Tamandua tetradactyla: one gene and its partners. The protein of the gene in region 4 purifies or fractionates together with the protein of the main gene of each other region. This does not show direct contact. Links are inferred from orthologs where the notes say so. Each region holds a gene or a part of one and is shown on either strand. Other genes may lie near its edges. The genes, in order: GPATCH8, AP3B1, NOLC1 and CAMKV.

Evidence for each region.
Region 1: the proteins of CAMKV (region 4) and GPATCH8 purify together in Homo sapiens (affinity purification with mass spectrometry; 3 studies listed by BioGRID and IntAct, counting the BioPlex papers as one, with this or other methods). This does not show direct contact. The link is inferred for Tamandua tetradactyla from reciprocal best matches to the Homo sapiens genes CAMKV and GPATCH8.
Region 2: the proteins of CAMKV (region 4) and AP3B1 purify together in Homo sapiens (affinity purification with mass spectrometry; 3 studies listed by BioGRID and IntAct, counting the BioPlex papers as one, with this or other methods). This does not show direct contact. The link is inferred for Tamandua tetradactyla from reciprocal best matches to the Homo sapiens genes CAMKV and AP3B1.
Region 3: the proteins of CAMKV (region 4) and NOLC1 purify together in Homo sapiens (affinity purification with mass spectrometry; 3 studies listed by BioGRID and IntAct, counting the BioPlex papers as one, with this or other methods). This does not show direct contact. The link is inferred for Tamandua tetradactyla from reciprocal best matches to the Homo sapiens genes CAMKV and NOLC1.

The regions. Positions count from the first base shown.
Region 1 is NC_135332.1:22,912,064-22,919,906, forward strand, and holds the start of GPATCH8 (G patch domain-containing protein 8), read left to right. Parts: upstream 1-4,835; 5' UTR 4,836-5,052; coding exon 5,053-5,097; intron 5,098-7,843.
Region 2 is NC_135347.1:53,554,617-53,562,356, reverse strand, and holds the start of AP3B1 (AP-3 complex subunit beta-1), read right to left. Parts: upstream 3,016-7,740; 5' UTR 2,870-3,015; coding exon 2,742-2,869; intron 1-2,741. UniProt on the Homo sapiens protein: Subunit of non-clathrin- and clathrin-associated adaptor protein complex 3 (AP-3) that plays a role in protein sorting in the late-Golgi/trans-Golgi network (TGN) and/or endosomes.
Region 3 is NC_135339.1:64,002,482-64,009,780, reverse strand, and holds the start of NOLC1 (nucleolar and coiled-body phosphoprotein 1), read right to left. Parts: upstream 3,015-7,299; 5' UTR 2,840-3,014; coding exon 2,720-2,839; intron 733-2,719; coding exon 677-732; intron 570-676; exon of another isoform or gene 541-569; coding exon of another isoform or gene 527-540; coding exon 390-526; intron 287-389; coding exon 159-286; intron 1-158. Other genes in the region: PPRC1 (peroxisome proliferator-activated receptor gamma coactivator-related protein 1), read right to left, coding at 4,638-4,741, 5,036-5,187, 5,395-5,516, 5,635-5,701, 5,808-5,951, 6,842-7,299. UniProt on the Homo sapiens protein: Nucleolar protein that acts as a regulator of RNA polymerase I by connecting RNA polymerase I with enzymes responsible for ribosomal processing and modification.
Region 4 is NC_135341.1:36,199,724-36,206,630, reverse strand, and holds the start of CAMKV (caM kinase-like vesicle-associated protein), read right to left. Parts: upstream 3,010-6,907; 5' UTR 2,804-3,009; coding exon 2,758-2,803; intron 1-2,757. UniProt on the Homo sapiens protein: Does not appear to have detectable kinase activity.

The DNA of each region.
Region 1 (7,843 bases), on a different chromosome or scaffold from region 4:
GTGGGCGCCCAGCCATCAGAGAGGATGTAGCTGTGCAGGTGCATCCGTTTGGGGGGTGTAACACTGGTATGCGCCACTTTGAGGCACGGGGCCGTTTGTGCACATGCATAGGGTTGTGGCAATAGGCCCATGTTATGCCTTTGTGAATTGGTGGCAGCTGTGACCCAGCTATGCAGGTTGGCACTTTCTCAGAGCTGGGAAGTGAGGCTGAGGGCTGTGCACATGTGCAGTTCTAGAACCACTGTTAAGTGCGGTTCCCAGAGCTGAGTGATGTGATTGGGGGCCTGTGCGTTTGCGCGGGCCTGGGAGTGCAGTAAACGGATGCGGATGCACTGAGCTCATGGCGGATGCACTGAGCTCATGGAGGGGGCGTGAGGCTGTGCGACACTCTGGGTGGGGGGCAGGGGTAGCCTAGGTATGGAGGTTAGTGCATGCAACCTTTATGCACTGGCAATAGCCTGCAGGGAACAGGGAGGGGGAGGTAGTGCTCGGGAGGTGTGCAGGAGAGGTCGGTTGGGCTGCAATTGGGGTGGGGGTGTAGGGCAGGTACGTGCAGTGGGGGTTGGTGGGGTGGGGGCGCCTGGAGCTCGGGGAATGGGAGCGGGAGAGGGGGTTCAGGTGCGTGGGGTGCGGGTGAATCGCTAGTTACGGTTACGGGGCTGCTCTTGTGAGAGTAGCGCATTGGCCTGGCTTACTTCCTAGTCCCGTGTTCCCATCTGTGCACGCCCAGGGGCTCCGTGACTCTGTGCTTCCGTGCCACGCTCCAGCTTTCTGCCTCTCAGTTCCTCGTCCTGTGCAACCAGGGCTGCCACATGTGGTACATAAGTCTCTCCTAGGGTCAGCTGCACTCCTGAATTGCCGCCTCAATTCCTGTTCCTTGGAGGCAACTCTTTTAGCTCTTTTCCCCTTATTTTTATTATCATGACTATTTCTAGATATTTCTTATTTCTAAATAATATGCTTATACTGATATTTCTTATTTTCTTTAAAATGTAGACATTATCTACTTAGTTCCTATCATGGAAGGTTTAGTTGTCTTAAAGTGCCCCCCTCTCCTCCAAACATATACTTCTCCTCCCACATTCCCCCAATATGCTTCTATAAAAAATTTTTTGTTGGAGGAATATTCAGTGTTTATATTGTTGTGACTATAAATTTTACTCACAATCGAGCCACGTCACATAGTATGATTACTATGATTACACTGTTTCCTGGCAATTTTTCTCTCTTGAATTTATCAATTGCCTTTCCCCACCATGTGCCTAGTTTTCTATATTCCTATCATGAATTTTCACCACTCTTGAGAAGTGTAAATCTCCTCACTTTCAGTCCCACTAGGTATGCTATCATATTTTTTGTTTGTTTGTTTTGCTGACAGTCTTTCTAGGGCCCTCTGTCCTCCTATGTCCTCATCTGGACTGGGTGTTTGTTAGGCCTGCTCCATTGCTGTTATTCTGAAATGACACTGTGGGCATTCCCTTTGTTTCTTTCTTAGGTTGTCTACCTGCTTTCTGGATCTTAAGTCTTTCTTGTTTTACTCTCTGCATTAGCCATAAAACATCCTCCAGTAACTTCCACAGAAATGGTGCATGGCAAGTATTTTTTTTCTTTTTTAGAGCATACAGGTGAAAAAAAAACAACTCATATTTCTCCCTCACAGTTGATTACGGTTTGCCTGGGTGTAGATACCTAGGTTGGGAACCACCCTCTTAGAATTTTCAGGGCATTACTTGTCTCTGGTGTTTTGGAGATATTCAACACCATTACATTTCCTTATCTTTCATATGCAACCTATTTTTTTCCCCACTCTTTAAGAATTTCTCTTTGCCCCATGTGAAACATCTCATGAAATTTCACAATAATGTGCCTGGCAGTGAGTTATTTTTCATACATTGTGCTGGGCCATCTGAGTTTGGAAACTCAGGTCCTTCAGCACTAAGAAATGTTCACATTATTTCTTTATTATCCTCTTTTTCCCCCCTGTTCTTTCTGGAAATCCTACTGTTCAGATGTGGGATCTATCCTCCAACTTTGTTATCTGTTCTCTCCTATTTCCATCTCACCCACTCAAATCTTTATGCAGTGCATACTATATGCCAATCATTGTTGTAGATACTGAGGACATAGAAGGAAGCAAAACCGAGAGAAATCTCTGACCTCTAGTCAAGGAATACAGATAATAAGCAGAATAAGTAAGTAAATTATAAAGTATATTAGAAAGGGATAAGTGCTGTGGAGAAAAATAGAACAGGGAAAGAGTTTAGGGAATTCAGAACACGTGGCTCAGTAATTTTAAATAGGGTGATCAGGAAAGAGCATACTGAGAAAATAACATTTGAATAAAGACTGAAAGATGAGGGCAGCAGCCATGTGCTTATCTGAGAAAGAATGATCCAAGTAGGAAGACGAGGATACACATAAGCCGAAGGTGGGGCAGGCAAAGGCAGAAGCAGACCTGGTGTGTTTAAGATATAGTCAGGAGGTCAGTGTGTCCAGGGAAGAGGGGAGCAGGGGGACATAATAGACCGTGAAGTCTAAGAGGTAAATTGGTAGTGGTAGGTGGACTTTATAATGTGAATGACATGGAAAATCACTGGAGGGTTGGAGTAGGAGACTGACTTTTTATGAATCGACTGACTTTTTTTTTTTAACAGGATCACCACAGCTGCTGTGCAGAGTATAGGGAGCAGGGATGGAATCAGTGAGAACATTTAGTAGCTACTGCAATAATTCAGGAGAAAGCAAAGGTGGCTGGAACTAGGGTTCTTTTATTCTGTTTCCTGGGAGAGTTCCTTAATTTATTTTCTAACCCTTGTATTGCATTTTTCATTTCTACTTAAGAATTTTTAATTTCCAAATATTCTTTCTTCATTAATGGATTTTCTTTTTCTTTTGCTCCCTGATGTGATCTTATGTCTCTGTGGATATCATCACGATTCTTTTGATGTATTTTTCTTCTACTCCTTTCATTATCTCTGGTTTCTCTGAATTGCTTTTTTTTTTTCTTTTAGTGTGTATGTGTGTGTGTGTGTGTCATTCCTGGTACAAGTTTCCCTCAAATACCTGGTAATCATAGGAAGGAGGCATTAAAGAACTGGGTGGAAACTGTGAGTGGGATTTGCTGACTGATTAGCTTCTCTGTGGGATAAATGGGTAAGAACATGTTCTTTTTTATAGGAGGCATCCCTCCCTCACCATTGCTAGTACTTGTACATTTTTTTCCCCTATGCCAGTCAATTTCCCCATAGAGGGATCCTCTGGTCTTTTGCCAGGATTAGAAACCCAAGTGCCAGGTCTCTCTAATCAAAATGTAGGCTTTCACCTACTCCTTCCATTTTTTAAGCACGGCACTCCCTCCCTCAGCTGTGCCAGACATGTCAAAGTCCAGAGTCTCTGTTTCAGCCCTTCTAGAGAGTAAACTTCCAGTTTGCTCCTGGGGGGAGAAGGAGATATAGGTTTTAACTGCTCTGTAAAATGCCTTGCAACCAATCCTCTTGTTTTCAGCCTCATCCATACCCTCACCTTCTGAGGTACGTGAAGGTTTTCTGGTACTTCTCAGTGTCAATCAGCTTGTTTCTTGGTTTCCTCTATTTTTAGCTTTCTTTACTAGAGCCATTTCCATTTCCTATGTTCTCTAGCTTCCAAAACTTGGTTGACATCTCATCTGCTGTTATCCCTTCTGATCTCTATACATATGAACTCATGCCCTTCTCATTCTTTTATTCAAATATCATTTTAGTGGGGTTTAGAGAGGTAATGGAGGCAAATGTGTGGTGTGTCTATATAATTCAATCTGTGACGTTTATCCTCAAGTTTCTTTACAGCGTTCTGTGTGTTCTATCTCCCATTAGATGGGGAGCTCTTTTGACTGTTTATAATTGTTTGGGCTGGAGTTGGGGTAGGGCAGAGGGTAACAAAGGAATAGAAGATACACACTCTTCCTCCAAACATTTACATTCCATTTGACTTTTTCAGGGAAGGGTAAGGGCCATTTTTTCCATTGTGTGATTTCTGTCAGCCACCCTTTTTCAAAAGCAGCGATGTCCTGCCAAACCTGTGTTTTGTGTATTTTGGCTAAGGGTGTTGGAGGGCCAGGTGGAGTCACCAGGAAGGTCATAGGATGGGAAAATCTGATTTAATCACACAAAGTCGGTGCTGAGCAGAAGCCTAGAGATTATTAAATTCATTTTTCTTAATACTGAGGCCCAGAGAACTTTAATTGATTTGGATCAACTTCAGTCCTTTAAGAAATAATACTTATCTCAAAGGGTTGCTCGAAAATGCCAAGCTTTTTCCCGTCATAGGACTTTTGGGTCAAATATTCCTTCTGCCCAAGACCTTACAAGGCGGGCTCCTTTCTGACCCTCAGGACAAAGGTCGTTTCAGAGGTTTGTCCCTCTCATCACTGCACTCAGTTTCATTTTTTTAACAACTCATTAAATTAAATTTAAAATTATATAATGATTTTATTAGTTATCTGACTACACCCATTGGAATGTAAGCCCTAAAAGAGAAGGGATCTTTACAGACTGTCACCGTTTTAGCCCTCAGAGAGAACTGGGATTCGAAACTGAAGTCTAGCTCTAAAGCCTGCGCTTGCATCCACTACTTCATGCTGCTGACAATAAAGTAGAGGGTGGACCTCGCATACACAGATGGCTAAAAGAAGATTTCACACCGGACAGACAGGCAGGTGGAAAACAGCCAAGCCCATCCGCACCTCTGACCTTTCCCTCCGGAAGCTTTAGTAGCCTCGAGCGCGAGTACGCACGCGCATCCGCCGAGCTCGCTCTGGGTCGTGCACGCAGCAGGGACTTGAGGGAGGGTACCGCCTGCGGAGCTTGAAGGCGCCTGCGCAGCTTGAAGGCGCCTGCGCCGGCGGGTCTCCCGTCAGGACGCGCGTTCTCGTTCCCTCCCCTCTCCCTTGCTTGCGCGCGCCCGGTGGGCGTAGGAGGAGGCGGGGAACTGGGGAGGAGAGCGGAGGGGGCGGTGTTGCCGTGAGGAAAGGAGCGAACCGGAGAGTGTCGTCCTGAGAGGAGTGAAGGCGGCAAAATGGCGGACCGCTTCTCCCGCTTCAACGAAGACCGAGACTTTCAGGTAAACACGGGCGCCGCCGAGGAGCCGGGGAAGACGCGGCCGAGCCCGGAACCTCCTTCATCCCCGGCTCCCAGATCTCTTTCTTTCCAGGCTCTGCTCCGGCCTCTGAACCGACTCGTTCTCCTCCCGCCTCCGATTCCTCAAGGGGCCTCCCAGCTTGAGGCGAGGCCGCATCTCATCTCCGTGCATTCTCTTACCTCTTAAAACTCAGGCCGCCAGCTCTGCGGCTTGGGCCTTTTTGGGCTTCGAGTTTTGGAACTCCAGCCTTGCGAGCTGGGTGAAGGGCTGTGTTTCTCTCCAGTTTGCCAAGTCTGTGGGGTCGCAGGGCTGACTCGTAGGGGAAAAGAGGGTTGAGAAGGTTTGCGGCGAGTGCTACTGAGGCCTGGGCTCCCAAACCCTTGGATTTTGCTCACACGGATCTTCTTGGGGGTGCTTCTCCGCTCCTCTCTCACTGTAATAAATAAATCCATTTTATAGCCTTATTTTTCCATTCCGCACCCGAAAAGAGTGTCTTGGTTATCAAAGCGTTCTTAGTCAAGCATTGAGATTTCCCCGGGCATAAATGTTGCTGTTGTTATTAGGCTGTTAATTGGGTTTGAAAAACAGTAAGTTATAGGACTACAGCCCATGTAAACTCGATCAAGTGAAAATCCTACCTTGAAAAAAGATTTGTAATAAGCATTATGATAGTGGGCTTTCCAAGCTTTTAATAACTAGTACCAAAAGCTTGATTTTTCTTTCTTCAGTTGCGGATATTGGTATGGAGAAACGTCCTTGCAAAAATTGTTGAGGAAAAAATTCTAGCCAAACTAGAATAATTCATCCTTTGGCTGTTTAAAATACCTTGCTGTTACAGAGCATCGTTACCGTGGAAATCTGGGAGACTAAAAGAGATTTAGAGAAATTGGGTACTTCTGGGATAAAATATGTCCTCAGGGTCTCAAAGAAACAACTGCATTACTGCTGCATATCCTGGCAACAACAATTTGGGTCAGGGGATGAACATCAGAACTCAAGTTTTTAATTCCACTGCAGATCTTCCTCAAAGCAACATGGGAATATGCTACACGTGTTTCAAAAGGCAGTTTGAGGGATTTGAATTTCCTGAGATGATTGCATTAGTACATAGACAGGTAAAGCAGTCTAGCAGTTTTAAACTAATATACTGTTAACTGTCTAGTACATAGATGTGAAGTTTAGCGGCAATAAGGGATCTGGGGGCTGTTGAAAAGCTTTATGATCATGTGCCTGTTGAATAGCTGCAGAAAATACAGGGTCTCCAGGTGTTTAAAGGGTATAATGCAGGTCCAGCTTAGTTTGAAGCAGTTCTGATGCCTGAAAAAGGTTATTTTTAGCAAGTACGGTAAAGCATTAGACTGCAAGGTGTGGACTTTATTGGTAATTTTTAAAGAGACAGATTGATAACCCAAGTGCTTATTAGAGGAGAGAATTTCAAGGTGACCTAATAAAATTGAAAATAGGTAATGTGGGCAATTAAATTTTGAGGAAAAATGGCTGTCAACCACAGGATTCCAGCAGGCTTCAAAACAGAACAAAACATACATACACACAGGATTAGCAGGGCCTTGAGAGAAGCTTTTGAAAACTGAATAGCAAAATATGAATGCTATCTCCTGGGAAATGGGAAAGATTAGCTTCTAGCTTTACAATACCCAATTTCTTGGTAAGATGATCCTCTGGTGCTGATGCTTTAGTTGGGTTTATGTCATGTTGATCAGTTGGAAAAATGTTTTTTATTCAGACGTCCTGCCATTATGGATAAATTGGGTATTGGGAATGGAAATCATTTAGACAGTTATGAGATATTAAAACTTTTATAAGTTATTGTGCTAACACTTATAAAAACATTCATTTAAAAATACTTAAAGTGGTGTTTTTTTTTCCTGAGGAATATAGATTGACTTTCACAAATGATGTGCCTTTATTTACAGTTCTTGGAGAGGAGAATGTGATGTAATAGGACATATCTGCATATAGTGTATTTGAAACATTTTCAAGTTCAGGTTATTCAAAATTAAATGTGACTTTCTTTTAAGTTTTTAAGTGGTAAACAAGGTGAAGCTACTGACTATTGTGGCTATTTTGTTTGTGATAATAGACTCGGAAACAAATCCAAAGTTCGTTTCCAAACAGTGGTTAGATCTTGTTGTTTTAAACAGATCTTACAGCACTGGAAATTTCCCTATACCGTCTTCTCTGGTAAGTTCTAAATGACTCTTACTTTGGGAAGATAATTTAGAATTTTAGGGTTTCATTCTTTGCCCATTTACTATCACGTGCAAATGCTAGAGGTTTTGAGTATTGTCTCATGTGCCAGAGAGGTGGGCTCATTGATTAGATTTTGTGAAATAACACCTAAAGTTGATTTCAGAGGTATTTTTGTATAATATAGCTAGAATCCTGTATGCTGCTTGAAGCATTTATTAATGGAGTAATTGTTATGGACATACGTAAAAATTTTTTTGATAATTATAATAATAAACAGGCACTGTTCTACAGGCTTTATGTGTATTATCTCATAATCTTTTCAATACCCCTAGGAGAAAGGTGTTGTTATTACTCCCATTTTTAGATGGAGTAACTCAGAGAGTTAAGTAACTTGGCCAAGTACACACAGCTGTTAAACGGCACAATCTGGTTATACTCTAGCATGGTATAAGCTAAAGACTCTCTGTTGACAATTGCTGTATTATCTCTGTTGACAATTATATATTTTATGTAGCTG
Region 2 (7,740 bases), on a different chromosome or scaffold from region 4:
GGTCTTTAAGTCTTCCCAGAGAAAGATTATTTGAAATAGGAAAAATAATAGCAATACAGTAGAAAAACTGGACAACCTCTTGACCAGAAAAATTAACATCAAGAAGATCCTATGCCTCCAGATGTAATAGCCTAAGAAGGACACATAACTTATGGTAGAATTCTGACCAGGGATACATAACCTGAATCTAATCGCAAGGAAACACCAGCAAACCTAAACTGATTAACCCATTATAAAATAACAGGCTTGTATTGTTCCAAAAAATTAAAGTTATGAAAGGTAAAGCAAGGCTCAGAAACTACTCTAGATTAAAGAGATATGACAACTAAAAGCAATATGTGACCCTTGACTGGATCCTACACGAGAAGAAAAAGATGGTGAAAAAATAATAACAACATTATTGGGACAAATTGGGAAACTGGATTAAGGACTATAGACTTCACCAATGCTAAATTTTCTGAATATAACAGTTCTGTGATTGGGTAAGAGGATATTTTTGACCTTAAAAAAATACACACTATGGCATTAAGGGATAAAGGCACATGATGAAAACTTGATATGAATGTGTGTGTGTGTGGAGCATGATAAAACAAATGTGGCAAAGTGTTTAAAAATTGGTGAATCTCTGAGTAAAGGGTATACAGAAATTCTCTGTACTATTTTTGCAACTTTTCTGTAAACCTGAAACTATATCCAAGTAAACCATTAAAATCAGAGCGAGAAACAGAGTAATCTTTAACTTTTTCAAGTGAATTTTGCCACGATTATCATCGTATTAAACCTGAGAAGTAAAAAAAAAAAAAAAAAATCAAAGTAACATCACCATTTTATAAATTAGAGAACACTGGCTCAGGAGAGATTAAGTGACTACTTCCCAAAACAGGGGCCTCCTTGTTTTTGTGCAAACCTTTAGATTGCAGTTCATTGGTCAAATGTTTCTAATTTCTGGAAGCTTCAAGGTCATACACTGTCTACAGCTGCTCTTCAAAGCTTTAAATTTTTAGGGAGTTCTATGCATTCTCTAATACTGAAAGCAACATAAATTTCATCAAGTAATAAGTAGTACATCCAAATGCTTGAAAGTGGGCTGAGATTAGAATGCCTGGGTTTAAATCCTAGCAATATACTTTGATTTTCTCATCTGTAAAGTGAGATCAGAGAAGTGTCTGTGTCATAGGATTGTTTACAGGACGTAAAGTGATGTGCACAAATACCTAGCATCTAGCAAGCACTCAATAACATTAGATACTTTTATTTTAAATAGAACCTGCAAAGCCACCTCAATAACACTGGTCACAGAATTGAAGACAAATATATTTCACAAATAGGCCCAAATCTGACAAAATAGAAAATCAGAGGCTCTAAAATGGAAAATATCTTAGATGTACACAAAGTATTCATCAAAGTATACAAGTAAATTAATTGTAAGCAAATTACATGCCAAATAAACGATGCAAATTTGCAGGTTAATTTGACAGGCAAAACTGTAACGGAACTGTAGAAATGCAACAAGCTCCTTGTTAGAACGCTAAATAATCTCAACGCACAGAATGAAAAATGAAATCAGATATTTTACTTTTAAACATTTCTACCCATGATCAAGGGAAAACAAGTAAAAGACTATTCCACATGCAGCCTGTAAGATTTCAGTGAGTTTAATAAGTCAAATCTTAATTCCAATTTCAACTTCTAAACACTTTCTAGACTACCCAATCTTATTAGTAAAGTTTACATTTTAATTACACCCTTGTGACACCTGCAAAGCTACCAGCATAAATATTTTATCTTAATTCACAGTAATCTAGTGACAAGCTAATATGTGACCATATTGATTAGTACTGAAAAATAAAAATTTATAAATGTAAAAAACGACCACAATAAAATATAAACAAAGCTTCTAGGATTCTGTAAGTCTATTCCTTTTAAACCCCTCCGCCAATAAAAATAATTGGCTTTTTCTTAATTCATTTATTTATAAATTCATTAGTTTAGTAACAACGTTTTATTCCATTTCTCAGTGGCACTCAAAATATTTTACCAACTTTTTACAAAACCAAGTGTACATTAATGTTTTTAAAAAACATTAAAAACATTACCTTGTAAAAGGTACCTTGTAAAAGTTTCTGATTTGTTCTCAGTAACGCTCTTTTTAAATATTCTCTACTCATATTTCCATTGTTTTGTTTAGAATTGGTTTTTTTGTCTGTAAAGGATATTGGCCAAGAAGATTAAAGCTTGTATAAAGCAGTTTTTTCATTCATAAAGCCCCTAAAATCACCCCCTTTCCGATTCACTCCAGGATCACGGAATAAGTCTCCATCAGCAAAACTCACACTCATTCCCATTTCCAACTACCAAAGAAACTCCTTTCACCCTGACAGGACAATTTCTCAACGTTCGGTCCCCGAACATCAACTCGACTAAAAGTGTTCGTTCAAAATTCAGATTCCTCTGTCCTAGCCCAGACCAACTCAGTCAGGGTCTTTGGGGGTGGGGACAACCTCTCCACAGGGGGTTATACCAAAGTTTGAAAACTACGAGACCCTCACACTCCGGTGCGCTTCCCACACAGCCCACGGACGCAAGCCCACCCCTCACCTGCCCGCGGGGACAGTCACCGCCCAGCTCCGACCAGATCTCCGGGCGCGCCCACCCCTCTCCCGGGAGCCCCCGCCCGGGGCCCGCTCCTGCGGGATCCCGGGCCCCTCATCCGCCCCAGCGCCCCAAACCATTCTTCTCACTTCTTCAAGTCGCTGCTAAAGAGGCCAAAGGCGCCCGAGGGGGCAATGGCTGAGGTCGCCTCCTGACCCAGCTCCGTCGCCTCCCCCCCGCCGGACTGCTCATTGTAAGCGAAGCTGTTGCTGGACATGGCCGCGGCGATGGGGGTGTATCGAGCGGGTGCTGCCCGGGGTTCTCCCAGAAGGGCTCCAGTCCCGAGACGCGGAACAAAACTACTTCTGGCGCAGAGGGGCGCGCGCAGGCGCTTCCGGACTCGTCACGGTTTACAGCGGACCCGGCGGGCCAGCCCCTGCGCATGCCCAGTGCCCAGGCTGGCCCGAACCCGGCCCGCTCCAGGCCTGCCGGAGCTCCCACTCCGGGTTTTTGCGGTGGCTGAGTCCGGGCTGTGGCCCCCTGGAAGCCAGGCTGTGGGCTTGCTGCGGACTTTATTTGCGACTTCGTGGGGTTTTTATTTTTCGGAGAGAGCTACCCATTGTATCCATTTTGATCTCAAAAGGAGATTCCTGGCCTCGGACATCTCTTTGCTTGACTGTTCTGCACACCAGTAGCTTTCATATTTCTCCCGAAATGCCCTTTAACCTGCCAGATCAATTTTCCTAAACTCGTCGTGAATATTTATTTATCTTTGGTGTGACTCTTTCCGCTCCTCCCTCTCCTGCCCGCGTGCCTTTCCCTCCACACCCCAAGACCTCCTCTTCCAACAAACAGCCTCCCGTTACCCGCCCAGCGGTGCAGCGCCCCTGGGCAGTACCCGGCAGAGGGTCCCCGCCGGCGACTCGCGGCGCTGCGGGGAAGCCGGTCACTCCAGTGTCAGCCCCCGAGCGAACGGCCCGGCGCCCGACGCCCCACCCCACTAAGGGAGGCGGCCGGCGGCCTCAGCCTGCCAGAAGGAAAGCAGAACCAGCTCGCGCGCCAAGGAGTGGCCCGTCACTTGGGCACCTCCTTCCCTCTTCCCTGCGCCAACCGTCCGCTGACATTAGGGACCCCAGCGGAGGGCTCTCATCGCGGGTGCGGGCAGCACCCAGCTCGCCCTCACGGGTGGTTTAGGGCCTCCGCTCCCCCTCCCCAAACTCCTCCCTCTGGGCAGGTTTTAAAACCCAGAACCCGGGAAGCCAAGTCCTGAAACTGTCACGGGACCCCCAAGATCGCTGCGGGGGTGAGGGGGGGTGCGGGAATGGGAGGGAGTGAGTGCGTAGGGGGCAGTGGGGCATGGTGGGGGGAGTGAGTGTGTAGGGGGCAGTGGGGCATGGTGGGGGGAGTGAGTGCGGGGAGGGGAGTGAGCGCGTAGGGGGCAGTGGGGGGGAGTGAGTGCGTAGGGAGCAGTGGGGCATGGTGGGAGGGAGTGAGTGCGTAGGGGGCAGTGGGGCATAGTGGGTGAGTGCAGGGGGGAGTGAATGCGTAGGGGGCAGTGGGGCATGGTGGGGGGATTGAGTGCTTGGAGGGGAGTGAGCGCGTAGGGGGCACTGGGGGGGAATGAGTGCCTGAACTGTGAACCTCTGAAGGCCTCTGGGAGGAAGGGGCAGGTGGGTGCAGGGTCAAGGACCAGCTGTGGTCCTCAGCTCCTCATAAGGCTAAACTCTTACTGTGGAAACCCGCAGGACAGTGGCTTTGCGTAGGAGGAGAGGAAACGTCCTCCAGAATTTGTTTAGTTAAAATTTGTCGGATTTTTAATTCAGTTGTTAGAACACGTCTCCAGAGATGCGATAATAGATTACCTAAAATCTGTTGATTGTCAATACTGATTAATGGAATTAACAATCATAGATTACTATGTATTGTATAATATTGAATATGTAACAGGCACTATTCGAAGTGTTTTACATCTGTTAATTCATACAGTGCTGTGAAAGTATGAACTACTGAAATTCAATGAAGAACAAGCTAGTATATCCAGTAAAGTTGCATGTATTCTATATACAAGAAATTCTAAACCCAAGTATCTGTAAGAGATTCTTTAGCATATATTTATATATAATATATATACACACACACACACATACACCAATGTCCTCTTTTAAAGATAAAGGAAACCAAAGCCTAGCTTCTGTTACTGTTTAATGAATAAACATATGTAGATCACTTGAGTCATTTTAATTCACTGCTTGATTTTTCTGCTAATATTTTATTTGGCAATATTTTCTTTTTCATGCAGATTCATGTAGGATTGCGCTACAATATTTTTTGCATTGTCCTTGAATATTAAACTACAATTTTGGGGCACTATCCTTGTACAGGGATTAAGGTTCTATAATCCTCAAAAAAATTAATTAACTTTCTGTTTGTCTTCTCTGGAATATAAGATGCAAAGTAAATAGTCCTTGAAAAATAAAGCTTACTTCTATCCCCCCCCAAAAAAATGTGATGAGAAGCTACTTAGGGTCTTATATTAGTTCGTTCAATGCTACCAGACAGAATGCAACATACCAGAAATGGAATGACTTAAAACGGAAATTAATTAAGTTGCATGTTTACAGTTCGAAGACCATAAAAATGTCCAACTAAGGCATCCAGATAAAGATACATTGACTCAAGAAAGGCCAGTGTCTGGAGGGAACTGTCTGAAAATGTAGAGCAGTGTTCCAGTAGCCATGTTTCTTGAAGATGATTGTATCATGATACAGCTTTCACAATGTGACTGTGATTGTGAAAAAAAAAAAAAAGAACGGCCAATGTCCATCAGGTGGGAAGGCATGTGATTGGTGTCTGCTGGTGCTTGTTCCTGGTTCCATTGCTTCCAGCTTCTGATGCCAGTGGTTTCCTCTCTATGCATCTGTGGGCCTTCACTTAGCTCCTCCAGGACACAACTCTGGATTCCAGCTTGCTTGGCATCTCACAGGAAGCCATGTGACAACCCTGCTGGACTCTGCATCTCCAAACATCCATGTGTAGGTATCAGCTCTCTCTGTCAGCATGCCAAGCATCTCCAAATGTCTGCATCTCTGTCAGCTCTGAAGCAACTGTTCTCCAAGCATCTCCATCTGAGGTTTCTCCTAAATGTTTCTACTTTTAAAGGACTCTAGTTAACTAATCAAGACACATTGAATGGGCTGAGTCACCGCTCAATCTAGTAAAAAAAAAAGCCACACCCACAATTGGGACTGTGACATTTCCATGGGATGATCTAATCAAAAGGTCACACCCAAAACGAGTGGGTCAATCTCCATGGAAAAACTCTAGCCAAAGGTTTCCACCCTGCAATATTGAATCAGGATTAAAAGACATGCCTTTTCTGAGACACACAATGCTTTCAAACCAGCACCGGTCTCTTACTTCCTTAGGATTCTAATACTCTACTTAAAGAAATATTAAAAATAGTAAATTCATAGGGTGAGGACTAGTGTTCTTATCTCTTCAGAATACAAAAATCTAACTTTCTGATTTCAGTTTCTGTTCATCTGGACCCTCATATTAATAGTTAACTTTGGCTTTTTTAAGTTTCAAGCTTTTTTTAAGCATTAAAAACAAATTTGTGTATATTTTTCCAAATATCAGTAAAAACTATAATACCACTCATCTTGCTTTTTTCTCTTATTATGAAAATCTTTCCATATTGATTTATATATGGTTCCCTCATTGTTTTAAACATCTATATAATATTTCATTTTATAGCTGCATCTTTAATCAATGTTCTATTAGTAGACACATAGGTTATATCCAATTTTAGAAAACAACTTTTCCCATAGTCATCTCCATATAATGGAAATAGTATTTACATAAGTTAAGATCCTAGAAATCCAATAGCTAGATCAAAGGGTATACACCCTGAAAAATTTGATAGATATTGCCAAATTTCTCACCCAAAACAGGGTAAACCACAATCCTCTATTTCATCATATGCTTTCCAGCAATGAAGACTGTAAATCTTTTTGTTTGCTAATCTGACTGGGGAAAAAAACCCATTATTGTTTAAACTTGCATGTCTCTTATTATAACTAGGGGAAACGTATAATTTCTCCAAACAGGAAACTTTTGATATTGAAATAAGACATGAATCCTAATTTGAATTTTATTTTCTATTAATTATGTGGCTTTGGTGTTTGCTTAATTTTAAGTTATTCATCTTATTGAATTGTAAGCACACTTCATAAATAGTGAAACTTTCTCATTTTTTTCTCATTATTAATAGAATCTTAAATTATTAAGTGAACCTTTTTCTCTTTATTTTCTAGGAAAGTATAAATTATTAAAATTAATTTTAAAAGATTACAAATTATTAAATTTATTACATTATAAAAGTTGATTCAAAAAATTCAAAAAGCTGCAAAAACCTGAATCAACTAAATAACTCTAGAAAAAATTGGAAAAGCTGAACAACTGGAAAAATCTGACACCAAAAGTCACTAAGAGCAATACAGTTCTATTGCGCCAATAAAGGGTCTGCTATTTCTGTTTAACCTATTATGAATACTAAAAAGGAGAAGGTCAAACCACTTCCCAATTCATTTTATTAGCATAACTGATATACAACACTAAATTTTTAAGTACAAAAGAAGGAGAATTATAGACTAAATAAAATTCTATGCAAATATTAAATGATGAACATGAAATAACTGAGTAGATATTTTCTATGATAAAATTTTCCAATATTAAAAACTTGTTATACTTACATTAATATTTAAATGCATTGACTGACTCTTCATCAGCATTTCTAATTGAAAAAAATAAAAAAATATAGTAACTTGGAAATACAAGAAAATATTCTTACCATTATATATATATGTTCTAGTTTGCTAGCTGCCGGAATGCAACACAACAGAGACAGATTGGCTTTTAATAAAAGGGGATTTATTTCGTTAATTCTTCACAGGAAAGGCAGCTAACTTTCAACTGAGGTTCTTTCTTACATGGGAAGGCACAGGGTGGTCTCTGTTGGCCTTCTCTCCAGGCCTCTGGGTTCCAACAACTTTCCCCGTGGTGATTCATTTCTGCATCTCCACAGACCTGGGCTGAGCTGCCAGTGCTGAGATGAGGTAGGCCGAGTTGCTGTTGTGCTCTCTCATT
Region 3 (7,299 bases), on a different chromosome or scaffold from region 4:
TTCACATATTGATCATTGCTCAGAAAGTCCCCAGGTTCTTCTTCATAGTTAACCTATTCCGCACCCACCACCACCCCTTGGTCACTAGAAGCCAGGATTCTAGGTTTCTTCCTTTCTAAACTCTTAATTAACTCCCTTCCCTTCTTAAAGCTGCACACCTGGACAGACTTTTTCTTTTTCTCCTCCTCCTCCTCATCACTGGATTCTTCACTGCTGCTACTTTCTGATGCTTTGGCCACAACCTTCCCAGATTGCTGAGGCAGTGTGGTCCGCTTAGCAGACACAGCTGAACAAAAGCAGAGATCCAAGTAAAAATTAGGCACATGGTACACACTAACCACAAATCCTTTTCCCGGAATCACCAATCACAACCTCCTGCCCTGTCTTACCCGCCTTTTTAGCTGGAGGCCCTTGGGTTTTTTCCTCCTCACTGCTATCCTCACTGCTGTCACTGGATGAAGTCTTCTTAGCCTTCTTAGTCACCGGTCCATTTACCTGTAACTTCCGCTTTGGGGCCTTAGCAGACCTGTTGACATACATTAGACTAACTTCTGGGGATCAGGACCTTCCTAAACCAAGGAACACAGCCTAACAAGGAATAAAAAACACTGAGGAACACAGCTCACTCAGCCCGCCACAGAGAAAAAATAGCCAAAGTGGAAGAGGGAAGGCTTACTTGAGCCAGAAGCTATAGATATCCAAAAGGGAAGAGGCATTGGCATCCTGCTGTGTCTGTAAAAAAAAAAAAAAAGAGAGAGAACTGGATAAGGAAATTTTATTCTGGTTCTTCAAGGAAGGATCATGTTTTGCGTTATTCTTTCATTAAATGTGACCTATTAATCCCAACTACATTTGGTATAAACGGTACATATTACTATGTCTACTTGCACAAATCAGGAGAAAAACATCTGATCTATTTGCGTATTTCCCAATTTTGGATACCAAATACTTGGGCTATTCATGAGATTTTTATGGCACCATCACCACCACGTATATGAAAGGCTTAAAAGAACATGCATTTCCTTTATTCTACCATTGTCTTATTTGGAGTTTATCCTTACCCATGAAACAAGGAAATTAAACATTTATACAAGTGGGTGTTTTTGGCAATGTGGTTTATAATACCAAATCACTGGAAGAGAAGATTGGTAAATAACTGCTATACAGACAGTATAGAATTGCATTCAATTATTAGCACTCATATAGATTATAAATTGATTCCAAAAGATGGTAAGGCATTACAATACAAACAAGAGTGCAGATTCAGTCAGATAACTATAGATATGAAACCACCTCTGCCAGTTATAGCTGTGTGACTATGGGCATATTACCTAATCTCTCTGAGACTGTTTTCTTCTCTAAAAAAAGGAAATAATACTATCCATTTCATTAAATTGCAGAAAGAATAAGAGATAATATGGGTGCATGGGGGGTTCAGTGGCAGAATGCTTGCCTTCCATGCAGGAGACCCAGGTTCAATTCCTGGACCATGCACCCCTCCCCCCCAAAATAATACAAAGAATAAGAGATAATGCATGTGAAAGGGCTTAACAGCTGGCCCCTCACTATCCCTCCACAAATATTAATTTTGTCTTGTAAAACCCAAGAATCCTGACTCTGAAAGGCCCAATTACATCCAACCCATTATGGAAATTTTCTTTGCAGCCTCCCTGACATTCAATTCAAAACTGTTCCAATAAGAAAGCAGTTATATAAGTTTACATGGTACTGTGTCCCAGCTAAGGAAGTTCTTTCTGAGGTTGAGCCAATCGCCCTCTTTCACAGCCTGGTTCTGCTACAAAAACAAGACTACCTTCTTGGTCGTGTAATGTCTACACTGCAAACTACCACTCTAATCTCTCTCCAGGTGTTTCCCCAGGGTGCTCTTCCTGATATGTGGATTCCAAACCTTTCAGATCCTGGTCATCGTCCTCTTATATATGTTTGGAACAATTCTAAGTTATCATAGCTAAGGGAACAGCTTTCAATCATTGATGTTTCCTGTACAGAACTTAGTATATATCATCTTACGGAAATTCACCAAAAAAACCCCAAAGTGGATAACAGCATCTCTGTATAAATAGAAACAGACTCAGAGAGATCAAGCAAGCTGCCTAAGCTACACTCTACTAATGGTAGACCTGGTATCTTTGCTAAGTCAAAGATCCACCGTTACGTTTGCTTGATAGGGCTATGAGGTTCAATCCTTCTGCTTCAGTATAACAAGAGCAGAACCCTGCCTCTACGCTAATTTATTTTCTTCTTTATTAACGAAAATTCTAGCCTTCATTTCTGAAGCAATTTCATTCACCTTGAGTCCGAGGTAAATGAAGTCGTCAATTAGGTCAAGTCACGCTCTGTCTCAGTCAACTAAAAGCCCACCAAGGGCCGCCAACGATTTCGGTGGGGTACGGTGACCCTTCATTGCAGCACTCCGCCAACCCATGTGACTTGGGCCACGCGGGTCCCATGCTGCAGCCAATGCACCGCTCACCAAGAAAAAGCAGCAAGATTCAGTACTACCTATTCAGACCTCGAGGAAAAGGAGGCGCGACGCTCCAGGCCCTCTGCTGCCACCGCCGAGAGCTCGGCACAAAGGCCTCCGCAGAGACCAGGCGGGCAGACCCCAGAGACTTTCCTATTCGGAACCCTAAGCATATCAGGGCCTGGAGTCTTGTGGTCGTCCCACCCTGTCCAGTGCCCCAAGCTCGGGACTTACAACGCCTGTCGCCTTGGCGAACTTGTTTGCCACCTCCGAGAGCTGGTTATCGCGCAGAAAGCCGAGAACGAGGGGATACAGATCGCTGGGAAGCACGCGGCGCAAGCCGATGTCCGCCATATTCCAGGATACACACGTCACTACCGTCGTCGACACAGTGCTACTTAGAAACTGCAGGAGGTAGGCAGGCGCCCTGTAACGTCATTACGCCGCGCGGGCGCATACCGGAAAGGCAGGTATTCCACAGAGCAGTCCCGCCTCCGTGTCGGAGGCAAGGTCAAGGCGGAAGCCGAAAACTCCTTCCGGTCCTAAGCGTGTCGTCTTCATGGTAAGGGCGGAGCTCGCGGTCCGCCACTTTGTGTGGGCGGAGCCCTGACGTAAAGGCCACGCCCTCGGCCGTGGCGGGAAACCTCGGCGTTTCCCGCGCGTTACACTTTTGTAGGAGGTTCTTTTCTCAGAGTATCGGCATTCCGGTCTCCAGCTGGAATTGGTATTCCACAGTAATGCATGGGCCGCCCGGTTCAAGCTGTCCTTTACTCCCTAGACTTGGTCACAAACCCTCCCAATTGTCCCCATTCAGTGGGTTCCCCCTTCATCTTCACTGCCTCCAGCACCCAATGAGACACTTTTCTCAGATACCACTTCAGCCTCCAAACTCACCCCTCCGTTACAAAGGATTCCTCAGGTTATCGGTGGTGGTTGTTGATCCCCCAAACCACCCGACAGGATCTGTCCCTGCACCTCCCGTAGATATAAGGCAGCTCCCCTCCCATTACTTTTTCATCATTAGCTCCATGAAGAGAAATCCTGCACCCAACCCAGTCACATAGCAAGTCCTAAAAATAACTCCGCTACCTCCTGGATAAGAGTTCACACTGTGAACTAGAGAACTGCCGCCCAATTAGTTACCATGAGTAACTAATATAAAACCTCGGGTTCATAAAGAAATTCCAATTTCTGCCATATTTCAGTTCACATTAGCAGGCAGCAATCCCTTCAATCCTACCAACCTTCATCACTTTCCATTAATGCATTACATCAGGAAGGGTAAGAATCACTTCCTCATGGGCTACCCCTCTACTCTACTTTTCTCAAAACAGGCACCCCCCCCAGGTGTAACTCCGTGTCCCTGTTCCCTAGAAAGAAGCTGGCCCCATCTGTCCACATGCATGTATTCTTTAAACACCTGAGCACTTTCTGTGCACCAAACATTGTGCTCAAGCTAAAATGGTAAACAAAACTGAATGGTTTATGTAACCAGAGATCCAGTTTGGGGAACCTTTATTTGGAATAAGTTTGACTTTCCTTAGGTCTTTGCTATTGCAGGCCCTTCCTGGACAGCAGCAGGAACATCCTCTTGTTAGAAACGCAGATCCCATCCCAGAAGGTCTAAGAATCTGCATTCTAAAAAGAGCTCCCTATGATTCAATGACTTTGAAGTTTCAGCACTGACCACCATGACTGATTTCTCAAAGAATACATTCAAATCCAGTGGACTCTGCACCTGACCAGAGAGGTCCTAGGATCGTGATGGAAATGAGCATCTCCCTGGTTGTGTTTAAAGAAAAGTGAATATATTTGGCACTAGCACCACAGAAAGAAACACAAGAGCACTTGGGAGTTCTCTCTAGTTCATTTTTATTAGTCTGCATAGTGATTTAGATGTTCCAACAATGGGCGAACCCCTCAGCTCCACCCATTTTACACAGGAATGCAAGTTAACTTGTTTCAATACCTGTTATAAAAAACAAATACCCCTTTAAAAAAATCTGATTTTACACATTTTTTATTTCACTTTTTTTCCATTTCTTTACAAAACAGTCATCTCCTCACTAGCAGCTCTCTCCCCTAGAGTGGGGGAGGTGGGGTGGAGGAGGTTGGGCACCTCCGAAGAAAAAAGGGGAGAAAGGGCCCAGGGTTACCTCCGGAGGTTCTTCTGGGCCTGTTTCAACAATGTGTCAAAGTCAAGAGAATCAAATTTGCTCTTTACAGGGGCAGGGTCAAAGTCTTCCCGGTTGGAGTCTATAAAAGGAGAGAGACCAGTAATTTCAAGATTATGAGGTCTCTGACCGTCACTTCCCAAACACAGGGTCCTCAAATGGCCAGCAACCTCCCATCCCAATAATGGATGAAGCTTTAAGTGTCCTGATTTTCTGTCAAAGACACCAAAGCCCCCACTTCTCCTCTCATCCCACCCCTTAGGTTCTTCATTTGTCAGATGAAGATAAGTCTGCCTAGCTCCACCCTCAAAGGGTTGGGACCACTTCTAGGAAGGTGATGAAGAGTGCCAAAGCCTCAGGCCCTCTTTCCACTCACCAAGATCGGAATAGCTCCTCTTGCAAAACTGTCTGCGGCCCCCAAAGCAGAGATCAAAAGGCTGCTCATCTGCCTGCCGCAACTTGTGGCCGCTCTCAATGGCTGCAAATGCCTCCTCAGCATAGCGGTAAGTGACGAAGCCATAGTTGTCACTGGTGGGAAGGGTGAAGCATGGGCTGGAGTGGCCACTTGGGCACAGGTTGACAGAGTATCTGGGGTGGTTTCTTCTCATTACCCAACCAGCCAACTCTCTGACTGAGGAAATAAAGGTGTCCCAGAGCAAGGGGAAAAAGACAAAGAAGCATCAAGATAGCTAAATGGGACAGAAAGGACATCCTAACCTTAGGGCAGAAGCTTACCCTTGGACACGGAAGTGAATGGTGCACTCCTCAATCTCTCCAAAAACAGAGAACCTCTGTTTCAGCTCTGACCGAGTCATGCGGCCAGGTATCTTCCCAATGAAGACCACCCTTCTCTCTTCCTATTTTGGGACAAGGAAAATCAACATACCATGAGCCAGGACAGTCAGCTGTAGTTGACTCTCTAAGCTTGTAACTCAGGGGCAAGTCCAAGGTCCCATCACCTGTTCCTCTACTCACTATTGCACGCTCCTTCTGCAGGACTCTCTGCCTTTGGTAATGATCATGTGAACGATAAGAGCTGTACCTGACAGGAGGAAAAGGTACCATCAGCCCCTAGACATACATCAATTCAAGACTCGAAACTTGAGGTACCTGCCCAGGTACCACTGACATCCTATACACACGCTCACCGCCGCCTCCTGTCACTTCTTCGGCGAGGGGATGGAGAGCGGGAACGGCTGCAGGAACTGGATGAGGAAGACGAGGAAGATGCAGAGGAAGATGACGATGAGGAAGAACATCTTCGGGAACGTCCAGAGGAACTGCAGCTGGACCTGGAGAATAAAGGACCATGCAAAAATGCTGGAAGTGGTACAGGTATACTCCACTTGCATCACCCCGGCTCCTGCCCTGACTTCTCGTCAGAAGGTTCAGGACCAGAGGTAAAGTAGAATAGAAGAGGTCTAGAACAGTTATCTTCACAGATAAACAAAGTATCTGGACAGAAATCATTTTTATTTTCAATTGTGCAATTCAAAATTGAAAGAGTTATCAAAAAGAAAATAAATGGAAACCTAGAGAGATAAAGGGCTGAGCCCTAGGTCTCTCTGTGGTGTTGGGAGCCAGACCTGAGTCTCTGGGTTTCTCCTTCTTTACCATATCTCATAGGACTGCTCCACTATAGAATAAAGGGTAGGTGACTGTGCTAGACTTATAGTAGGGGCCACTTCTGAAGATATCTACCGCCAACAAAAACCAAAAACTTCACTGATTAAGTGGGAAATTTTGGATCTGTTATTAAAAGACACCACCAGGAAATAGATGAGGCACCCAAAGGACTTCGGGAATGACTGTTTCCAATGAAGAATTAACCCACTCTTCCACCTTCTCCCATACCACCAGGAAAATGCCATAATTGAGGATTGATAAAGTATGTGAAGGAATCAACATGGTCAAGAGCAAACCCTAACAGTCTCCTCAAGGCATGTCTCAAGGAAGCAGGAGACCTCAGGGACAACCCAAACTCCAACAAAGAATGGAAGCTATCTTCCCACAGTTTGCCTCCTTCAACAACTCAGGAAAGGGGGGAAAGACAAAAGCCAAAGACAGAAGTGGAAGACCTAGTGCCTGAAAGTATCAAACTTAATGTGCAAAAGCTTTCAAAAGAAACCATTGTACATGAACTTCCTAAATGGAGAGGACCTAACAGGCCATCAGAGCTCACCTGCGCCATCTCTTGTGTGGGGGGGAGAGGGACCGGGACCGGGATCGGGATGAGGAAGACGACGATGAGGATGAGGATGCTTCGCTGGTCCCGTTGGACCCAGAGCTGACAGAACGGCTGCTGCGGCCACGGCGGCCCTGCCAGCCCCGGCTTGGGGAGCTGGCTGATCTGCAGGCTTTTCGGTAGCAGCGCACTGACCGCTGCTTGGCTGAGGACTGAGGAGTCCTAGTGTTCATGTCATTCCGGCAGGGTGAAGCCTCAGGGGACAGCAAGGTGGATGGGGCAAGGCAAGGGGTTGGGGGGTCTGCCTGCTCATTGCTAGTCCTGTGATCAAGTGGCTCCTGGGAGGCAGCTGTGTGTGGGGGCAATGGGGCAGCTGGGCCCAGAGACAAGACCGGCTTGATGGTGATGTCCTGATGGCGTTTGACGTTCCATCGGGAGCCCACCTCTGGAATGAC
Region 4 (6,907 bases):
GTCATATGCATGCAATGAAATACTATTCAGCCATAAAAAGGAATGAACTTTGAAAACATTATGCTAAAAGATCACCATATGATTTCTTTGATATGAAATGTCCAGAATAGCAAATCCTTGGAGAAAGAAAGCAGATTAGTGGTTATCAGGGGATGGGAAGAGGAGGGAATAGTGAGTGACTACTTACTGGGTATGGAATGTTCTTCTGGGATGACAGAGTTTTGAAACTAGAGAGAGTTGGTGGTTGCACAACATTGTGAGTGTACTAAATGCCCCTGAATTCACTTGTGTCAATTCCACCTCACTTTAAAAAACAAAACAGGCAGTACTAACATACTGTCTAGGGATATATACACAGTAGTAAAACTGTAAAGAAAAACTAGGAAATAAGCACCAAGAGACAGATATCAGTTACCTCTAAGAGAAAGGGAGGGGTTGTGAGGTAGTAAGGACACATGGGTGACCTGGAGAGCCTATTTCGAGACTATTTCTGAATCTGAGTGGTGGTTACACAGGTGTTACATCATAGTAATCTGTAAAGATGTACATTTTTGTGCACATTCCTAGATTCTTGTTATATTTCATGATAAAAAATATCAATAAATCCAGTAGCCATGTTTCTTGAAGATGATTGTATAATGATATAGCTTTCCAAATGTGACTGTGTGATTGTGAAAACCTTGTGTCTGATGCTCCTTTTATCTATGGTATGGACAGGTGAGTAAAACATATGGATTAAAAATAAATAAATAATAGGGGGAACAAATGTTAAAATTAAAAAAGATATATATTGGACAGATGGAAATACTAATGGTCAATGAGAGGGAGGGGTAAGGGGTATGGTATGTAAGAGTTTTTTCTTTTTCTGGAATGATGCAAATGTTCTAACACATGGTCATGGTGATGAATATACAACTGTGTGATGATATTGTGAGCCATTGATTATATACCATGTATGGAATGTTTATATGTTAAGAATGTATGTGCTTGTACATTGTTGCATCAAAATATATATATATATATATATATTAATAAAAATTATGGCCATGATACTGTGGAATACTTGGTAGCTACTGAAAAAAAGAAAATAGACTGAAATGTGTTGTTGTAAGGCAGTCTCTGAGGTATGCTGTTAAGGTGATAGAGCAAGGAAGAGAATGGTGGGTAGAGTATACTGCTATCTGGGTACCGTTTTTAAAGTTTGTATACTGGTGTACACTCACAAACTGTTTTCTGGAAGAACATCTAAGAAAATAAGAGTTCTCTGTGGGGCAAAGGATTGGGTGTCAGAGGAGCAGATTTGTATCTTTGGTTTATTAATTTTCGGTTAGAATTTTTACTGTTATATATGATTACTTTTATTAATTTAATAAATATTGCATCAGGCATGTTGCTTAGGGGATTCCTCCAACAGAGAACCCAAATCTGGTGAAGAGGTAAGGAAAGACTTTGAGGAAGAGGCAGCATTAGTTCTGGATCTTGGAAGGGAGGGATTTGCTAGGATGCACGCAGGGATGATGGCCAGGAAGAGCAAGACAAGCTTCCCCGGTGCCTCACTGCTAGGGTCCACAAAGGGCTTAGGAAGTTAGGTCCTAGGTGGCTGCATGCAGATGGCTCAGTGGGCTCCAGGCAGTCTGTGCTTCTGGGGCATAGTGCCCCATGCGTCTACACCCCTGCCAGCTATGGTAGAGTCCTCACCTGTGGTGCTGGGTGGGCTGGCTCCAAAGTTCAAAGGACAGCACCCCCTGTCCTTGTTCCAGAGATAAGTTTAGGGTGCAGGGGTGGTGGTAGCAGAATTAGTGTCTGGAGCTTTGCCTTGCTGCCTCCACAGTGCCTGGTTAGCATGGCACTGGACCTCAGCAAGCTCTGCAGTGAGGCTACATTGAAACTGCTCTATCGTGCTGTCTGTACATTTTCTCCCTCTATACCGATTAGCACTTGCTTTGCACAGGCCTTGGGCTGGAGCCTTAGATACCTAGATGCTCACCTACCTGGAGGCACTCACAGCCTCAGGGTAGTGGAGACGGGAAGAAGCCACCCTCTTGTTCTCCAGAGGGGCAGCTTGGGCTTGAGGGACTCTGCCAGCTGGGGTCACAGGCCAAGGCCCAGAGAAGCCCTATGACCCACCCTGGCAGAGGGAAGTCCCAGGGGTGGCATTCCTGGAAATTCTCCCTCAAATCTGCCCTCACCAGCAGGGAACAAATTCCATCATTCCCTCGTCTGGACTGCTTGGGCTCAAGAAACGCAAGCACATTTCACCAGCCTCACTTAAACCAGGGCTTAAGCCATCTTGTGAGGCATCACAGAAGCAAAGAGAAGCTTTGAAGATCGTCCCCGACTGATTGTCTTTGCCACCATGACCACAGCCCTGCTCCCACGTCTGCAAGGGAGGAGTGTGTGCTGGAATCCTGCTCTTGCAGCTGAGAGCAGTGACAGTCACCCACCACTGCCGGCCACCCATCTCCATGTGAGAACAATCTGGGGGAGGGGACGCGACCCACATCAGTCCTTTCAAAGACCCTGACGGGCAGCAATTCCCTTCCCGGGCTAGGATCTGAGGGCCATATATAGGGCAGGAGGGTGGTACCCCAGCCTGAAGGATCCCTAGGAGGGGCTGGGAGGGACCTGTGTCCCAGCTCTGTTGCATTGCTTACACTGTTCCCTCTGGCGAGTATGCCCTTCCCCCAAAGCCTCCCTTCAGAATCCTATGATTTGTCACAGCAGAGTTATTTATAACATTAAAAATTCAGCAACTACCTAAACGTCCAACAACAGGTGACTCGTTAAGCTCAGCTGTGTCCATTCAATGGCAGGAAGTGTGGGCACTAGCAAGGGTGCTGCCCACCCCAGCTTCCCTGCAAAGCAGCCTCCACCTGAGCAAGGGCTGTGACCAGAGCTGAATCTCTTCTTTCACTGTGATTTCTGACGTTATAAGGTTATTTGCACAACAAATTATCTAAAACAAACCTGATATTCCAAAACTGGACAAAACACCCCTCTTCTGAGACACCGTCCTCCACCCTCCACCCTCCATCCTAGATGTTAACAGCTCCCAGCCCTGCAGAGGTGGCTAAGTTTGCATATGTTTGCAATTGTATGTCCCCACAGCTCGTTGTCATGCATATGCACTTGTGCCACTTGGGGGTGATGGGGAGGAGGCAAGGCTGCTCTTGAGATTTATCTCTACTGCCTGGGCCTCTGCTCACAGTCACAAAGGCCCCTGAAGCCATGTCCTACAACACTTGCTTGGCCCCTTCCCCAGACCTGGCCCCAAGACAGAGAGGGGAGAAAGACCTTCCACCTCTACCCACTCTACCTCCTGCTCCCTATGGCTGCTGCCTAGGAGACTATGGGTCTATGCACCAAACCCCGGGTACCTGCCTACATTGAGGGGGGCCCTGGACTTGAGGCTGGGAGAAGCAGCCAATGGCCAGCTCCAGGAACGGTGGGAGGCCAGGCAGAAAGAAGTTGCATTTCTCAACCTTTCCCCCCTCCTCCCCTTGGCCTAGACAGCCCAGACACAACCCCAGGAACATACGCTCTTGGGTCTATCTCAGATCCACAATAGGATATTGGGGGGCATAGGAGCATCACAGAAGCAGTTTATCTGTAGATGTGGCTCTCTCCATTAGCTGCAGAGAAACTGAATGGTTGCAGAGGGGCCTACCCAAAAGGATCTTGCAAGGAGCGGAGAACCACTGTGCTACAGCTGACTTTAAATTCTTCTCAGTTACTGCCTGACCCTTGGGCCTAACCACTGAGCCCAGGGAATTGGGCCTCAGTCAACTCTGAGTGAGCCTCTACCTGTTGGCACCCAGGTTGTAAAGGGTCCTCTTGGAGCCCCATGGCAGCCTTCGGCAAGACTGGCCCAGGGGAAGCTCAAGTGAGCCAGAGGCCAGCTCCAGTGGCCCAGAGGCACCATATTCAAGTCCTACTCTACCTCCAGTGGGGTCAACCTGGTTCAGGTCCCACCTTTCCTACCCATAAATAGAAATATCCTGTTATCCTGATTCCTTGTCCCATGTGGGGCTCCAGAGCTTGCAACAAATCTAGGGAGGCCAAGAGAGGCCCAGGAGGCCTCTGACTGCCTGACTGTGGGAAACACCTCCTGATTTAGTGGCAGCTGTGAATACCAGCCTGCAGGCACCCCTTACCCTCCCCTGTTCTCCTCTCTTTCTCACAGGCTGGGGCTGGATTTCCTGTTACAAAAGATAGGCCCCAACCTGTCTAGCTCCCAGCTGAGACCTCATCTACAAGGCCAGGGGAGATGGGGGCCTCACAGGTAGGGTCTTGTGTTAAAAGGCAGAGCCAAGCTTCTAGCCCACAGACCAACTGCTTCAGGGGACTGGGTAGGGAGCTGCCCTGGCTGGGCTCTGGGCTTCAGCTAAACCGTAGTTGACAGTTCCCAGGGTTGATTCTCTCTCTTCTAAGGAGGAATTGTGCAGGGGAATTATATTCAGTCTTGGGGGTGGGCATACAATCCAGTGCTACCTCCAGAAAATTCAGCCTTCAGCCTGCAGGCAGAGCCAAGAGCCAACTGGCCTCTCCAGGTACCTGGGGTCCCAATCATTGAACCCCAGAAAGAGAGCCCACTGGGGACCCTGCTTTCCTGTGGGTGGAGGAGGGGAAATGCATACGAAGGTGCTGGAGTAAAAGGATTGCTACAGTGACAGAAGTTTTAAAACAAGGGAGGGGGTGAGGAAAGAGGTATTGAGTAGGCCTTCTCTCCAAGAATTCCCTTGGACTTTAGTTTGGCTCCTTCCTCTGGGGAGGGCCTATGATCCCAGCCCCATCAAGGAAAGGGAAGGTAGGGGTCTGAGAGCCCGCAGGAATGAGAAGGACGGATACACAGGGAGATAAAGGCAGAACCTTTGATGGATAAGGAACAAGAAGACAACAGAGTAAAAGGGGCACACGCGCAAGGGAGAGGATGGAGGAAGTAGGCCGGAGGTTCTGATAGGATCTATGGGTGCCCAGCAGAGCCCTAAGGCCTCCGTGGCCATGTGCTCTGACCACCTGGGCCAGGAGCTGCCCCTGGTATCTGGATCTTCAGGGCTGAACTCTCCTGTATCCCTCAGATACACAACGAGCTTAGTGTGGAAGACACAACCCTGGCCCCGGAGAAGAGGCTAGTCGCAGCCCCCTGAGCCAAGCATGGGGGGGAAGGAAACAAGGCTTGGAGAGCTGGCTGTCTCCCTCAATAGCCCCTCCTCTCAGCGGGCCCAGCTCTGCTTAACCTGCCCAGCCAGTCCCACCCATCCACCCGTTTGCTGTACTCTCCTAGCCTTGGGTCTCTGGGGCCCCTCTTGCAGCTCAGCTTAACCTCTCCCACAATGGAGCCCTGGCAGGATGGGACTAGAAGTGGTTCCACAAGAAATCCAGAAACGGTATAATTGCACAGTCGTCCCCCGACCCCCAATCAATGGCTCAGTTTCCCTAGATATAGATCAAAGCCTCTGTGGCCTCCTCTCCCCACTGTCTGCCTGCCAATGAGAGGTGGCCAGATATGGAGCTGGAGAGGAGGGGCGACAGTGTGAACAACAGGCCAGGTACCTGGGGAACCAGCCCAAATGCTGTGAAAGAAAGGGAGAGAGACCCCTGCCCCACTCTGGAGACTATCCTGGCCTGGAGGAAAGGGAGACACCACATGTACCATTTGAGAAAATTGAGACCCAGCAGGTGACTAGAGCTGTCAAGAATCAACTCTGAAATGGGGGGGGGGGGGGGGAGGCCGGGAGGTCTCTGCAGGTGATCCTGGGTCTGGAGGTTGGGGGGAGGCAGGACAGGGGTTAGACTGCAGCAGGCTCTGAGCTTTTGCTGAGGGACAAAGGGACATGCTATCTAGGAGGGAACCTAGTTGAGCAATCTCTGCCCCGTGGGGGTGCGGACAAAGGCAGTTTAACAGAGCTCCTTGAGCTGGGGTCTCTGCCAGTCACCACAAACTGGGAAAAACAGCTCACCCTGCGCCCCTCTCCCCTCCAGCCAGGGACTCCTAACCTCCACGGTGGTGCCACCCTGACCCCCATCCACAGCACTGCTCGCCCCCGCTGGCACAGCACACACATGCTGAGCACACGTGTGAGCATCAAGCCCCGCACCCCCTAGCGGGTACATGTGTCACCCCCACCCCCACCGCGCACGTGGGTCTGTGCCCTGGACCCCGGTTGGACCCGTGTGAAGGTTCGGCAGCTGGATGTTGGCTGGGGGTCCGCCAGTGCCCAGGGGCTTGGAGCCTCCTCCCCCAACCCGCAGCAGCCCCGCCCAGCCCCCTTTGGGTTGTCGCCAATAAAGAACTCTCCGTTGTCATGGAAATTAGTGACTGCTCAGCGGGAGGGAGGGGGCCGGGGGCAGTTGGGAGGGGCTGGATGCGGCTCTGTAAACGAGGACGGACGTCTCTGCCCTCGGGCCCCCAACCCCAATGGGGACCACGAATCTTGAAGGGCTAATGTTTTCACAATTCGTAGTCCGGCGACGGGGGGGAAGGAGAGGAGATGCGCCTGAACTTGGGTCGCAGAGGCTTCACTTCCACCCTGACCCCCGGGCAGTCCGAGGGGACGGGGAACTTTAGTCCGACCCCGCACGCCACCCCATGGGATCTGCAGAGCCCCCGCGCTCCACCCGGGTCGGGACACCTAGCCCTCGCGGCACCCCCGCGCACTCTGCATCCGGAACATCGAGCCAGTGGGATCCAATCCCCAGGACCCCCCAGCGTGCGTTCGGGAGGCGCCCCCCTTCCCCGGCAGCCCCGCACCTGCAGCGCCGGTCCGTCACGGGTTGGAAGCTACCGCGAGCTCAGTGGGGCGTTTGGGGCTCCGGGGGCGGCGGGCAGAATCTGCTCCGGACACGCGGGGCAGACGCGGCGCCAGCTGCAGCCGCTTCGCCTTGCGAACCTCCAGCATCGCCCGTC